Linked DNA regions of Macaca fascicularis. The main gene of each other region encodes a partner of the protein of the gene in region 3 in a complex. Links are inferred from orthologs where the notes say so. Each region holds a gene or a part of one and is shown on either strand. Other genes may lie near its edges.

Evidence for each region.
Region 1: the proteins of RELA (region 3) and NFKBIA are in contact, whole or in part, in a crystal structure (PDB 1NFI), measured with the Homo sapiens proteins. The link is inferred for Macaca fascicularis from reciprocal best matches to the Homo sapiens genes RELA and NFKBIA. Residues at the interface, in NP_068810.3 of Homo sapiens: Arg50, His181, Lys221, Ser238, Phe239, Ser240, Gln241, Ala242, Asp243, Arg246, Arg253, Asp294, Arg295, Ile298, Lys301, Arg302, Arg304, Thr305, Tyr306, Thr308, Phe309, Ile312; in NP_065390.1 of Homo sapiens: Thr71, Glu72, Asp73, Asp75, Phe77, Leu80, Ala81, Ile83, His84, Glu85, Glu86, Leu89, Leu110, Gln112, Leu117, Ile120, Thr121, Asn122, Phe142, Arg143, Leu150, Gln154, Arg218, Asp226, Leu227, Gln249, Tyr251, Gln255, Leu256, Trp258.
Region 2: RELA (region 3) and CHUK share a complex: the UniProt entries of both Homo sapiens proteins name them as parts of the 70-90 kDa complex. The link is inferred for Macaca fascicularis from reciprocal best matches to the Homo sapiens genes RELA and CHUK.

The regions. Positions count from the first base shown.
Region 1 is NC_088381.1:103,221,208-103,225,582, forward strand, and holds the start of NFKBIA (NF-kappa-B inhibitor alpha), read right to left. Parts: upstream 2,830-4,375; 5' UTR 2,725-2,829; coding exon 2,498-2,724; intron 1,879-2,497; coding exon 1,770-1,878; intron 1,443-1,769; coding exon 1,232-1,442; intron 942-1,231; coding exon 853-941; intron 746-852; coding exon 476-745; intron 104-475; coding exon 56-103; 3' UTR 1-55. UniProt on the Homo sapiens protein: Inhibits the activity of dimeric NF-kappa-B/REL complexes by trapping REL (RELA/p65 and NFKB1/p50) dimers in the cytoplasm by masking their nuclear localization signals.
Region 2 is NC_088383.1:109,176,202-109,180,813, forward strand, and holds the start of CHUK (inhibitor of nuclear factor kappa-B kinase subunit alpha), read right to left. Parts: upstream 2,830-4,612; 5' UTR 2,766-2,829; coding exon 2,661-2,765; intron 1,562-2,660; exon of another isoform or gene 1,490-1,561; intron 1-1,489.
Region 3 is NC_088388.1:8,712,707-8,716,638, forward strand, and holds the end of RELA (transcription factor p65), read left to right. Parts: intron 1-654; coding exon 655-735; intron 736-827; coding exon 828-899; intron 900-1,888; coding exon 1,889-2,493; 3' UTR 2,494-3,271; downstream 3,272-3,932. UniProt on the Homo sapiens protein: NF-kappa-B is a pleiotropic transcription factor present in almost all cell types and is the endpoint of a series of signal transduction events that are initiated by a vast array of stimuli related to many biological processes such as inflammation, immunity, differentiation, cell growth, tumorigenesis and apoptosis.

The sequences.
Region 1 (4,375 bases), on a different chromosome or scaffold from region 3:
TAAAACTTTTTTTTGTACAAATATACAAGTCCATGTTCTTTCAGCCCCTTTGCGCTCATAATGTCAGACGCTGGCCTCCAAACACACAGTCGTCATAGGGCAGCTGAAAACAAGGGGAAAGAAGACACATTAAACTTCCGAAGCTCTGCCAAGCCACTGGGATGGGGAGGCCGCTACTGGAAATAACCCTTGGACTCCATTCTCCATAGCCCAAATACAATGAACTTTACAGGCTGAGGGAGTTTGCCTTTAACTCCCATTTTAAAAATGTTTTAAAAAATGCTTTTCTTTAAAAAAGGGTAAGCTATTTAAAAAAAAAAAAAAAAGGTACATTATTGGGATACTGGTTATGCACAGAAATTTGAGAGACTCATTATGTAGATACCCCTCTGATAAGGAGCAGTTCTAGGGGCCCGGGAGGGTGAAGGGAATGGTCCCTCATTAGTTAGAGAGCCCAAGGAGTTCACAGACTCACCTCATCCTCCGTGAACTCCGTGAACTCTGACTCTGTGTCATAGCTCTCCTCATCCTCACTCTCCGGCAGCATCTGAAGGTTTTCCAGTGTCAGCTGGCCCAGCTGCTGCTGTATCCGGGTGCTTGGGCGGCCCCAGGTGAGCTGGTAGGGAGAATAGCCCTGGTAGGTAACTCTGTTGACATCAGCCCCACACTTCAACAGGAGCGACACCAGGTCAGGATTCTGCAGGTCCACTGCGAGGTGAAGGGCAGTCCGGCCGTTACAGGGCTCCTGAAACCAAAAGGAATTTGAGATGCTTATGGCTGCGTTTGGAATTTCTGCTCACAACATGAGCACGAGGAACTTGACTCAGTGCATCGGAGGCAGGAAGCACTAACCTGAGCATTGACATCAGCACCCAAGGACACCAAAAGCTCCACAATGCCCAGGTAGCCATGGATAGAGGCTAAGTGCAGACACGTGTGGCCTGGAAGAACAAAACGAAAAAAGTATAACCACCTGTTTCAACCCTCACTCCTTTCACCTATTCTTTTATGGGACAAATAGTCATATCTTCTGAATTTTAAGAACCCACCGTTTGGGTTCTGAAAGAACTTTATAAAGGCATCCAACAGGCACTTTGCACACATATTTTCTCAACCTTTCAAATGCTGGCAGTTTAAGTTCTTGCCTCGACTCCTTAAGTTGGCCCACCTGCCCCTTCTCCACATCACCTGCCACCTGAGGGGGTGGGGCAGGGCAGGGAGGCAGACATACCATTGTAGTTGGTAGCCTTCAGGATGGAGTGGAGGTGCGGGGTGGTGCAGGACTGAGTCAGGACTCCCACGCTGGCCAAGCAGCCCTGCTCACAGGCAAGGTGTAGGGGGGTATTTCCTCGAAAGTCTCGGAGCTCAGGATCACAGCCAGCTCCCAGAAGTGCCTCAGCAATTTCTGGCTGGTTGGTGATCACAGCCAAGTGGAGTGGAGTCTACGAATGCAGGAGAGACCAGAGAAAGTAAGCCAGGGACCAAACCCACACCCTGAGTTCCCCTGAACCCGTGTCTCCTGGTTGGGTGCTGCTCCTCCTAGACAGGCGGGTGGGGAGGACTGGCAAATAGCAGAGACTCCAGGTGGGTCACAAAGACCTCACCAAATCAGTGGAATTTCCTTCACTCTCTAGGATGTGGGCTGACGTGAAGTAAAAGGTGAGGGTGAATAATGCCCTGTGGCCCTGAATTCAGAAAGGATCTGGGGTGACTTTGCTACATCAGTTCCATCCCAGAGTTAGAGAGCCCGGGCCAGGCAAGCGGCGCACCTGCTGCAGGTTGTTCTGGAAGTTGAGGAAGGCCAGGTCTCCCTTCACCTGGCGGATCACTTCCATGGTCAGTGCCTTTTCTTCATGGATGATGGCCAAGTGCAGAAACCTGTGGGGAAGAGAGGGAAAAACCCCAGGGGTGGTGAGTGCACCGCGTGGGGCCCAGGGAGGCGCGGGCTGCGGGGGATTGCGCAAGGCCGGGGTTTCTGGAGGCCGAGGCCGCGGTGTTTTCCGCGAGGTTATTATGAGCTGAGTGTTCCTGGCAGGCGCCCAGGGACTTTCCGCCCCCCTCCCCCCGCGGCCCCGGCGGGCGCCGGCCAGACCGCCCCGCCCTCCCGCCAGCTCGGAACGCCCTGTACTTCCCCTCCCGGCTGCTCGGCGCCCGCCAGCGGCCAGAAACTCCCGCCCCGCCTTATGCAACCGGGGACTTCGCGTCCCAGCTGCCGCCCCGCCCCCGGCCTAGAGGACAGGCCTGGGGGGAGGGGGCGTGTGGCGACGCTGCCGTCCACCAGGGCCCAGCCGCCGCCCCTCCGAGTCGGGCCGGTGCCCCGCGCGGCCCTGCAGCCCTGCAGCGTTCGGGGCGGTGCAGGAGCCCCGGGGCGCCGCGGCGCCAGCCCGGCTGCATCGCTAGTTCCCCAGCTCGGGCTCCAGGCCCGGCGCCTCCCACTCCCCGGCCGCGCGCATCCGGCCCTCCCGAGGACCCCCGGCTCCGGGTCTGCGCCACTTACGAGTCCCCGTCCTCGGTGAGCTGCTGCTTCCAGGGCTCCGCGCCGCGCGGCACCTCCTGCGGCTCGAGGCGGATCTCCTGCAGCTCCTTGACCATCTGCTCGTACTCCTCATCCTTCATGGAGTCCAGACCGCTGTCGTGGCGGTCGTCCAGCAGTCGTTCCTTCTTCAGCCCGTCGCGGGGACCCTCCATGGCCCACTCCTGGGGGCGCTCGGCCGCCTGGAACATGGCGCGGGCGAGCTGCGGGCGCTGCTGCGGGTGCGCTGGGCCGCGGGCTGCGCGCTGCTTCCTCGCTGGGGCGCTGGCGGGCGGGACGGCGGCACGGGCTGGTGTGGGCTCTGCAGCGCCGCCGCGGCGCCCTATAAACGCTGGCTGGGGATTTCTCTGGGGCGGGGTCAGGCGCGGGGAATTTCCAAGCCAGTCAGACCAGAAAAGAGAACTGGCTTCGTCCTTTGCTAGGGGGAAAAAGAAGCCTAAACCCTGAGCTGGGGTTCGTCGGAGAAACTCCCTGCGATGAGCCACTGGGGTCACGGACAGGGAACTTTTTGATGAGTGCCAAGTGGCTGGAAAGTCCTTCCGACCAGGCCCCCTTCCCCGCGGTACTTCCCTGCAGCCTGCACCCTGTAATCCTGTCTCTCTGCAAGTGAACCTTCTTTCCCTGGGGTTTCCCACGATCGATTTGAATTGGGGTCGTCGGCGGCTGAGATCCCAAGGACGCCGACCTGATGGGCGGTCCCTCTTTGGGGTTTGCCAACCTGCCGGTCCTTTCCGTTTTTTGATCTTTTGAAAACGCAAGAGTGGAAATGATGGCTGGGCGTAGGGATTTGCTTTCCCCAGACTTCTAAGGGGAAGGACGCACTGTGGTTATGGGGCTGCAGGCTGCTCTTGTGTTTCTGCTAATATCAGGCTCATTGCAGCACGGGGACGTTTAGCTTCGCGCCCTTCCTCCCCTACCCCCCACGCACCTCTGCCAGGTAGAACTGTGAAAGCTTTGGAGGAGTGGAAAGCCTAAATCCTTGGAAAACTCTCAAATCACTTCCAATCACTTCCTAGGGATGAACAGCCTTGTTGAGTGGGGGAGGGGCAAACTCTCCCTGTATGGGGAAACTGCTGAATAGGACCATGATTTTTTTTTTTTCCCCCAAGTAAAGCAAGGTGTTAATCTTTGTAGTGGTGGTTGTGGATACCTTGCAATAACAGAGTAGCTATTGTGTTCATAAGTAGCTGTTGCATTCATGCTATCTGACCTACATTGTGCTGCCGCAGAGAATGGATCCTGAGCCTACTTCTGGGCATCTAAACTGAGCAATTCGAGGAGCACTTAGAGAAGGAGGCTGAAGAATGAGTTTAGTTAGTGCCTTAACCGCGATTGGACCTTAAGGACCGCTAAGAAAGTAGTTGCCAGTCATCCTGCAGGAGGCTCAAGGCAGCCCCATCCTCCCATCCTGCCCACCCCGCCTTGCTCCCTCGTCCTGGGGGATAGTAGCAGTTGGACCCATTCATGCCACCCAGGTAGAAAGGGGTTTTGGCTCACTATGCTCTGATTTCACCTGCAGAAATGTAATTTATGCTCTCCATCCCACCTCCACCTCCAAGCCTGCAAGCCATGGACTGAATTCATCTACTTGGTAGAATTGGTACAGGCAAAATAAAGCACACTTCGGTCAGAGCTCTTCAGAATTAGTCCCAGGAGCCCTCTGTAGTTCTGCAGAGATTTCTGGTGATGATTGCAATCATCTTTACCTTGACTGGCCATGTACTAACCAATCCTTCCCCTCTCTTCAAATCTCCACCCCTCCCCTAATATTAGAATGTAAGAAATCTGACTCAATAGAGAGAGACCAAGTATGAAGTGAAAAAAATTAAAATCAGATAGAAC
Region 2 (4,612 bases), on a different chromosome or scaffold from region 3:
TTCCAACATACGTAATCTCTGACACAAACCAGAGTTGTAATAAAGGCTGTGTATGAATAAAGAGAGGGGCCAGGACAGAAAAAAATATATTATAGGTGGGGAAGGAAGACACAGCTTGGATAGGGTAGTGTGAATTGGGGGCTGAGAGGAAAAAAAGGCTAGAGATAAGATGATACTTGGTGCATAGAGAAGAAGGAAAATAGGACAGACTACAAGCTAGCCTACCCACAGGTCTCACTCCCTTCAGTCTTCCTTTTGTTATGAGCAGGTGGCCAGTTATATCTATGTCCCATGCAGACCTTTACCACCATGGAGATGAGAATCAGGCACAGCTATGAACAGCACTGAGTCCTAAATGCTCATGTTGATGGAGCAGTAAGTTATCTATTTCAAAAATCCCACTTTGTAAGATCCTTCAACTCCTTAATTTATATTTCATCCACTCTGTGAAATTCTACCTTTTCGCAAAGAATGTTCTATGGGCAGTTTATAGATGTACAACAACAACAAAGTTATGTGCTTAAAAAGCTGGAATATTCTGGGGATAGGGTGACGGCTGTACAACGTCAATATACTTAATGCTACCTAACTGTACACTTAAAAATAAAGTGATAAATGTTGTGTTATGTATACTTTACCATAATAAAACAAAAAGTGATGAATTCATCCATCCCCACCCAGGGACCAAAAAAAGAAGTCACAAAAGCTGCCAGCATGCATCCTTTTTCCTTATGATCAGTCTATAGGCAGGCTTAGGTAACACAGGCAACATGCCACTGGAAGCACTTGGCTCCCACTTATTTTTTTAGTGTGTTATATTCCCTCTGATGGTGAGAATTATTAAATTTACTACTTATCCTGCTATCATAGGATTTAATGCCTTAGTCCTTCACCTTCCATTCTCTTTCTCCAAGATTTTCTCCCACACCCTATCTAGAAACCTGGTTCACAAAACTTCCTCAGTTCTATCAGTTTCAGTTGTCATTCTAATTACCCTAAACATGCCTATTTCTCCAAAGTAGACACCTATCTCCCCTTTCTCCCACCCCAAATTATGAGCTTTCTCACTACACCCATGTTCCTTTAGATAACAAATTATTACTTTTCCTCTTGAATTCATTTCTCTATTCACAATCCAAGCCCAGGCATTTTAGTAAAATCTTAACTGTTCATCTTGTCCCACATGTTGTTCCACTCAAATTTATCCTTCACAAAACCATTTTCCTAGAACAACACTTTTAATCTTGACATTTCCTTGTTTAAGGCCAATTAATGAGGAGCATTATGATCATAGCAGCAACAACAAAGTAGCAGCAGGTGCTAACAGTTGAGGGCTTTCATGGGTCAGGTACTGTATTTAGCTTTACATACATTATTATTTTATTTAACTCTCAAACCCATGATGCATGCAAGTATTATACTATACCTATTTTATAGGGAACAAAACAAAGCCTGTATTACAGGAAGTGTTAGTCCGGGGTCTATTTACCTAAAATGTCCTTTAGGAAAGCATGAACCTCTCAAATGGCAATGCATGGTTGCGTGGATGTGCATCTGTGCATTTTTCTGGGGAAAGGGTTCACAGCTTTTATTGATTATCATTTTTTATAACAAAAAATACATGTCCCAGGCCTGACGCAGTGGCTCACGCCTATAATCCCTGCACTTTGGGAGGCTGAGACAGGTGGATCACCTGAGGTCAGGAGTTCGAGACCAGCCTGGCCAACATGGTGAAACCCTGTCTCTACTAAAAATACAAAAAATTAGCCCAGCGCGGTGGCGGGCGCCTGTAATCCCAGCTACTCAGGAGGCTGAGGCAGGAGAATCGCTTGAACCCAGGAGGAGGCTACAGTGAGCCGAGATCGCGCCACTACATTCCAGCCTGGGCAACAGAGTGAGACTCCGTCTCGAAAACAAAAACTAACAAACACACAAACATGACCCAAATATTATTTTTTAAACTGCTGTTACAATGGTTAAACATTCTCTATTAAATCAAAGTAAAATTCTTGAGTCTGATGTTAACTGTCCTCCACTGACTGGAGCGCCCCCCATCTCCAATCTATTAATATCGCCTTCCGTTTGAAGCCATGATCTGCACCAACTTACCCTCATACTGTCCCGACCTGGAATACATCCCCAATTCCAAAGCCCATCCATACTTCCAAAGGTTTAACTCTGGACCCATCATGAAGCCTTCCTTGTCTACTGCAGTCCCCACTGATATCACACGGCCTCCAAGCAAGCGCGCGCACACACGGACCCAAACACACGGACGCACACATTCCAACAGGCAGTCTCCTTCAACCCTCTTCTCACACATTCGTGCTCACACATACACACTGTGACGTGCATCTGCCTCACACACCCTGACACTCTACATTCACAGAGACACACGCGCACTGTCACACTCACTAAACACCTGGTCACAGCCTGACAGTCATACCCAAGTTCCCCGCAACAGCTCTATCTATGCCCAGTACCTCAGATACAACTTTGGACACACACAGGCAGAGTATCTTTCTCTCTCATACACACACACAAGCCTACTGGCCCACAAATACTGCCCAAGGTCCCACTAACCATCTATCCCACACTGTCAGCCCTGTGTTCCACAGACGCTCAAACCCACCGCCGCTCCCTCTCGCGCCCCGCCTCACCCGATGCTGGTACAGACAGACGTTCCCGAAGCCGCCGGTGCCCAACCGCTCCCGCATCTCCCAGGGCCCGCCCGCGCCCGGCCGCAGCCCCGGGGGCCGCTCCATGGGGCGGGAGGGCAAGCGGCCTCAGGCTCCGCCGCTGTTCCAAGGCCGGTTCCGGGCCGCCGACGCTCGCGCGTCTTCCTTCTCGCGAGAATGAATGCGTCACTTCCGGTAACCGCTGCGAGAACGGCCCTTCCCTACGTTTTCCCAGGGCGCCGCCGGAGCCCTGCCGGCTAAGGGGTGGGGAAACGAACAGGTACTCGGTCCGCTCTTTAGGTCCCCTAGGTATTTTCTGGGAGGGCTGAACGGAACCACAATGTTTTTCAAGTCTTGGAAAACATAAGATCTCTCCAAACCTCGCATTCCCATCAAATCCACTTTTCAAAGCAGTCCAGTCTCTCCTGTATTAAATATATTTTTTTAATTAAGATGGGGTCTTGCTCCGTTGCCCAGGCTGGAGTGCAGTGGCATGATCACGGCTCACTGCTGCCTCGACCTCCCGGAATTGAGCGATCTTCCCACCTCCCGAGTAGTTGGGATTGCAGGCGCGCACCACCTCGCTTGGTTTTTTTGTTTTTTGTAGAGACATGGTCTTGCTACGTTGCCCAGGCTGGTCCCGAACTCCTGGCCTCAAGCAGTCCTCCCACCTCGGCAACCCAAAGTTCTGGGATTATAGACGTGAGCCACCACGCCCGGCAATTAGTCTTTTCTAAACTTCACATTGTCTCCACTCGTCTACACTTCACCTTTCTTCAGATCCCTGCCATCTATCCTCCAACTCCACCACCCGCTGATCCGGCACGCTAAAGACCACCAATGATTTAAAGGCTGCGGAACTGGAAAAATACTACGCCAGCAGGCCCACTAATGAATTAGCCTTACTGTTCACTGACTTCCCAATACACCTGCTCCATGATATGCCCCGTCATCCCAAATGACTCAATGATGTGACGCTATTCCGGAGTGAAGAATGTTTCTCGGGATTTTGGGAACTTTTTTCCTAGATGCCTCACAGAGCTTGCTGTCCAGCAGTCCAGTTAGGGCTCTGCCAGCACAGCAGTTCATTGTGAGAAGTGTTTCTAATGGGTGCTGCAGGGCTGCAGAGGCAAGCTTTGGGAATGCTGTTGGTGCAGCAAGTGCTTCCGGGTGGCGGATTGACATAGCATAGGAGAACCAGCTTCTGGTCTTCCATTTGAGAGGCTCATACTTTCACTGTACCTGGGGAATCTCAATACTCCAAGTAAAGGAGTCAGCATGGAATCAAATTCTTGAGAAATGTGATGCTGCAACCAGAATGTTGAGCACTGCATGATACAGACCAAGTCGATGTTGTAGGTCATTAGTAACATGTGGTATGGGAGGTTCTGGTTTCTATAAGTGCGTGGTTTCCATGGACTTGGAGATGATGGCGCCTCTGAGGACATGTCATTTAGAGCTGGGCAGACCGCACAGAGAATTGTGGTACAGATTGTTATAACAGTATGAAGCCCTCTCATTTGACGTATGTACAGCATGGCCAGTGCTAGTGTGCTCAATTTCCATAGGTGGGGCTGTAATCTCATAATTCCCACTCAAAAGAGGAAGGGATACTGAGGACCCAGGGATACTGATGATTGGGCTGACCCGGAAGTGGCCATCTTTGTGGAAACCAGGTTGGTTCCCTTTGTTAACTTTTTAAATGCCCCCATTCCCAGGGCCATGAGTAATTTGAGTTGTTTTTTGTTGTTGAGACAAGAGTTTCACTCCTGTCACCCAGGCTGGAGTGCAATGGCGTGATCTCAGCTCACTGCAACCTCTACTGCCCGGGTTTAAGCAATTCTACTGCCTCAGCCTCCCAAGTAGCTGGCATTACAGGTGCGTGCCACCATGCCTGGCTATTTTTTTCTATTTTAGTAGAGACAGGGTTTCAC
Region 3 (3,932 bases):
TAAAAAGAAGTACAAAAAACTAGCCGGGCGAGGTGGCGGGCGCCTGTAGTCCCAGCTACTCGGGAGGCTGAGGCGGGAGAATGGCGTGAACCCGGGAGGCGGAGCTTGCAGTGAGCGGAGATCCGGCCACTGCACTCCAGCCTGGGCGACAGAGCGAGACTCCGTCTCAAAAAAAAAAAAAAAAAAAAAAAAAGAAAGACAGTTCTGAAAGCTCCGACTAAAATACGAAACCATTACAGATAAGAATAAGAGTCTGCTGAAGTGTTAAGGCAGTTGTGCCCCAGCTGCCCCAGAGTGGCAAGAAATTCTCACCGCCCTGGGTGGAGGCTGACAGTGAGCCAGGACGTGAGCAGTGCAGGAAGGCATGAGCTGGAGGCTGGGGCCCCCCAGGGCTCCTCTTTCCCCAGAGCACGGCCCCTGTACTCGGCCTCGCCATGTGGCCGTAGAGGGGCAGATTCAGCCAACAGAGGCCTCCAAAAGCTGTGGGATTCTCAGAACTGCTGGATGTCACACATCCCTTCTCACTGGCAGAGGAGGTTGGGAGAACGGGTCTTGGGAAAGCCTGGCTCCTCGGTTTCCTCCTGAGGGTCCTTTGAGAGCGTTGGGGGCCCACCTGAGGAGAGCAAGTCCCACTTCTCCCCCTTACTTTCCCAGACGATCGTCACCGGATTGAGGAGAAACGCAAAAGGACATATGAGACCTTCAAGAGCATCATGAAGAAGAGTCCTTTCAGCGGTGAGATGGGGACCGGGAAGGACAGAGAGAAAGGCAGCGGGGAGGGAGGGGACACCCTGGGGCTGAGAACTGACCCAGCCCTTGCCCTGCAGGACCCACTGACCCCCGGCCTCCACCTCGGCGCATTGCTGTGCCTTCCCGCAGCTCAGTTGTTCCCAAGCCAGGTAAGGATTTCCTTTTGTCCTACTGGAACGACAGGTTCAGCTCTGTTCAGCTGAGGAGCAGTGGAGATGCAGACTCTTGGGCCCCATTACAGACCTACTGAATCAGAGGCTTTGAAAGGATGGCGCAGGAACCAGCAACTTCTGGGACGCTAATGCATGCTGAAGCCTGGGAACCACTGTGCCAGTTAAATCCTGTACTGGGTATCTTGGGATTCAGAAGTTAAAAATGCAGAATCGGCCGGGCGCGGTGGCTCATGCCTGTAATCCCAGCACTTTGGGAGGCCGAGACGGGCAGATGACGAGGTCAGGAGATCGAGACCATCCTGGCTAACACGGTGAAACGCTGTCTCTCTTAAAAATACAAAACATTAGCCGGGCGAGGTGGCGGGCGCCTGTAGTCCCAGCTACTCGGGAGGCTGAGGCAGGAGAATGGCATGAACCTGGGAGGCGGAGCTTGCAGTGAGCTGAGATCACGCCACTGCACTCTAGCCTGGGCGACAGAGCGAGACTCCGTCTCAAAAAAAAAAAAATGCAGAATCTCTGCTTTCATCTCTCACTTGAATTAGGGGGAACAAAAATCACTTCTGAATTAGCAAGACGTATGTGCCAGTGCGAGGCTCAAAAACTGACAAGCTGTCCACTTGAGGCCGCTGCTCACTTGATGCTCCATGGGCTCATTGCCTCTCAGGACTTAGTTTTTCAGCTGTAAACCGAGGAGTCCAGCTTGTCTCTCAAAGTGTCCCTTCCTTTAAAAGGCTGGGAGAGTTTTGTGGGCTTGAGTAGTCAGGGAGGACTCCAACGTGGAGGTGTGGCTAGAACTGGACCCTACAGGCTGGGTCAGATGGGGTAAGAGGAAGGAGATAGGGTGTTGGCAGTGACTTCCTAGAGAGGGATTGAGCCTAGGCGCCATCAAGAGGGGCTGGGGTAAGAGGACGGAGTGGATCTCTAGGGCTTTCTCTGACCCCTGCCTCTCTGTCTCTCTCCTCCAGCACCCCAGCCCTATCCCTTTACGTCATCCCTGAGCACCATCAACTATGATGAGTTTCCCACCATGGTGTTTCCTTCTGGGCAGATAAGCCAGGCCTCAGCCTTGGCCCCTCCCCAAGTCCTGCCCCAGGCTCCAGCCCCTGCCCCTGCTCCAGCCATGGTATCACCTCTGGCCCAGGCCCCAGTCCTAGCCCCAGGCCCTCCTCAGGCTGTGGCCCCACCTGCCCCCAAGCCCACCCAGGCTGGGGAAGGAACGCTGTCAGAGGCCTTGCTGCAGCTGCAGTTTGATGATGAAGACCTGGGGGCCTTGCTTGGCAACAGCACAGACCCAACCGTGTTCACAGACCTGGCATCAGTCGACAACTCCGAGTTTCAGCAGCTGCTGAACCAGGGCGTACCTGTGGCCCCCCACACAACTGAGCCCATGCTGATGGAGTACCCTGAGGCTATAACTCGCCTAGTGACAGGGGCCCAGAGGCCCCCTGACCCAGCTCCTGCTCCACTGGGGGCCCCGGGGCTCCCCAACGGCCTCCTTTCAGGAGATGAAGACTTCTCCTCCATTGCGGACATGGACTTCTCAGCCCTGCTGAGTCAGATCAGCTCCTAAGGGGTGATGCCTCCCCTCCCCAGAGCACTGGCTTGCAGGGGATTGAAGCCCTCCCAGAGCACTTACGGATTCTGGTGGGGTGTGTTCCAGCTGCCCCCAACTTTGGTGATGTCTTCCTTGGAGGGGGAAGGCATATTTTATTCTTTTATTGGCAGTACCTGTATCTATCTCTCTTTTTGGAGGTGCTTAAGCAGAAGCATTAACTTCTCTGGAAAGGGGGAAGCTGGGGAAACTCAAACTCTTCCCCTGTCCTGATGGTCAGCTCCCTTCTCTGTATGGAACTATGGGGTCCCCCATCCACATCCTGCAGCTTCTAGTACTCTCCTAGAGAGAGAAGCAGGCTAGAGGTAAGGCCTTTGAGCCCACACAGCCTTATTATCAAGTGTCTTCCATCATGGATTCATTACACCTTGAAATAACGCCCCAGGTACCAGCCCCTCTATGGCATTGGCATTGTCGCTGTGCCTAACACCAGCATTTGAGGGGCTGGCCTTCGTGCCCCACAGAGGTCTCTGCCGGCTCTTTCCTTGCTCAGCTGTGGCTGAAGGAAACCAGTGGAACAACGCTGGCTCTCTCAAGGATCCAGAGGGGGTTTGGTCTGGGACTTCCCTGCTCTCCCTCTTCTCAAGTGCCTTAATTGAGGGCAAGTTGTTAAAGAGAGTCGGGGAGAGCAGGCTGGCAGCTCTCCAGTCAGGAGGCATAGTTTTCACCGAAGAATCAAAGCACTTGGACTCTTGCTCTTTCTACTCTTGAATTAATAAATCTGTTGCCAAGCTGGCTAGATTCGCTTTTTTTCAGCAGACACTGAGCACACACTTTGCTAGTCACATCAGGCCGGACATTGGTGGTAGAGAGCTGGGTGAATGCGTGCACTGTCCTCTGAGAGCCTGCAGTCTGAGAATGCCCTTGGAAACCCCGAGTTACTGTCCAGTGGATGAAAACGGGCAACTAAGGCAGGAGTCCTAACACACCGAGAGCCTAGTAGGGCCCACTGACTGGGGATTGAGCAATTTCAGGAGTCTTCCCGGAGGCCCCATTTGCTCCAGGTCTTAGATCAGCTGAGAGTGGATCTCGCAGAGGGACTAGCCAGCGTCAGAGGTAAGAGAAACGATGTTCGAAAGATTTGATGGGGCCAGGAAATTTGGACTTAATTCCTTGGGTGGCCCAGGGAGTGTGTGCTTCTCTCTTGGGGATGTGTAGTGCCAGGTGAAGATCTACCCTGCCCCACCGATGCTTTGATACTCTGTTCTGGGAGGAACGGTGAAAGCTTCAATCCACAGCCTCAGGAAGCCAAAACAAAGGCCCAGCCGCAGCCCACAGGGCTACAGCTGGACGTACTTCCGCTTTGCCCCAGCGCAAGCTCAGAGCAAATAGCGCTGGCCGGCTTGGTCCCCCAGTTCTCGAGTGCGCAGGCGCACAAGGAGACCTCAGCGACCGGA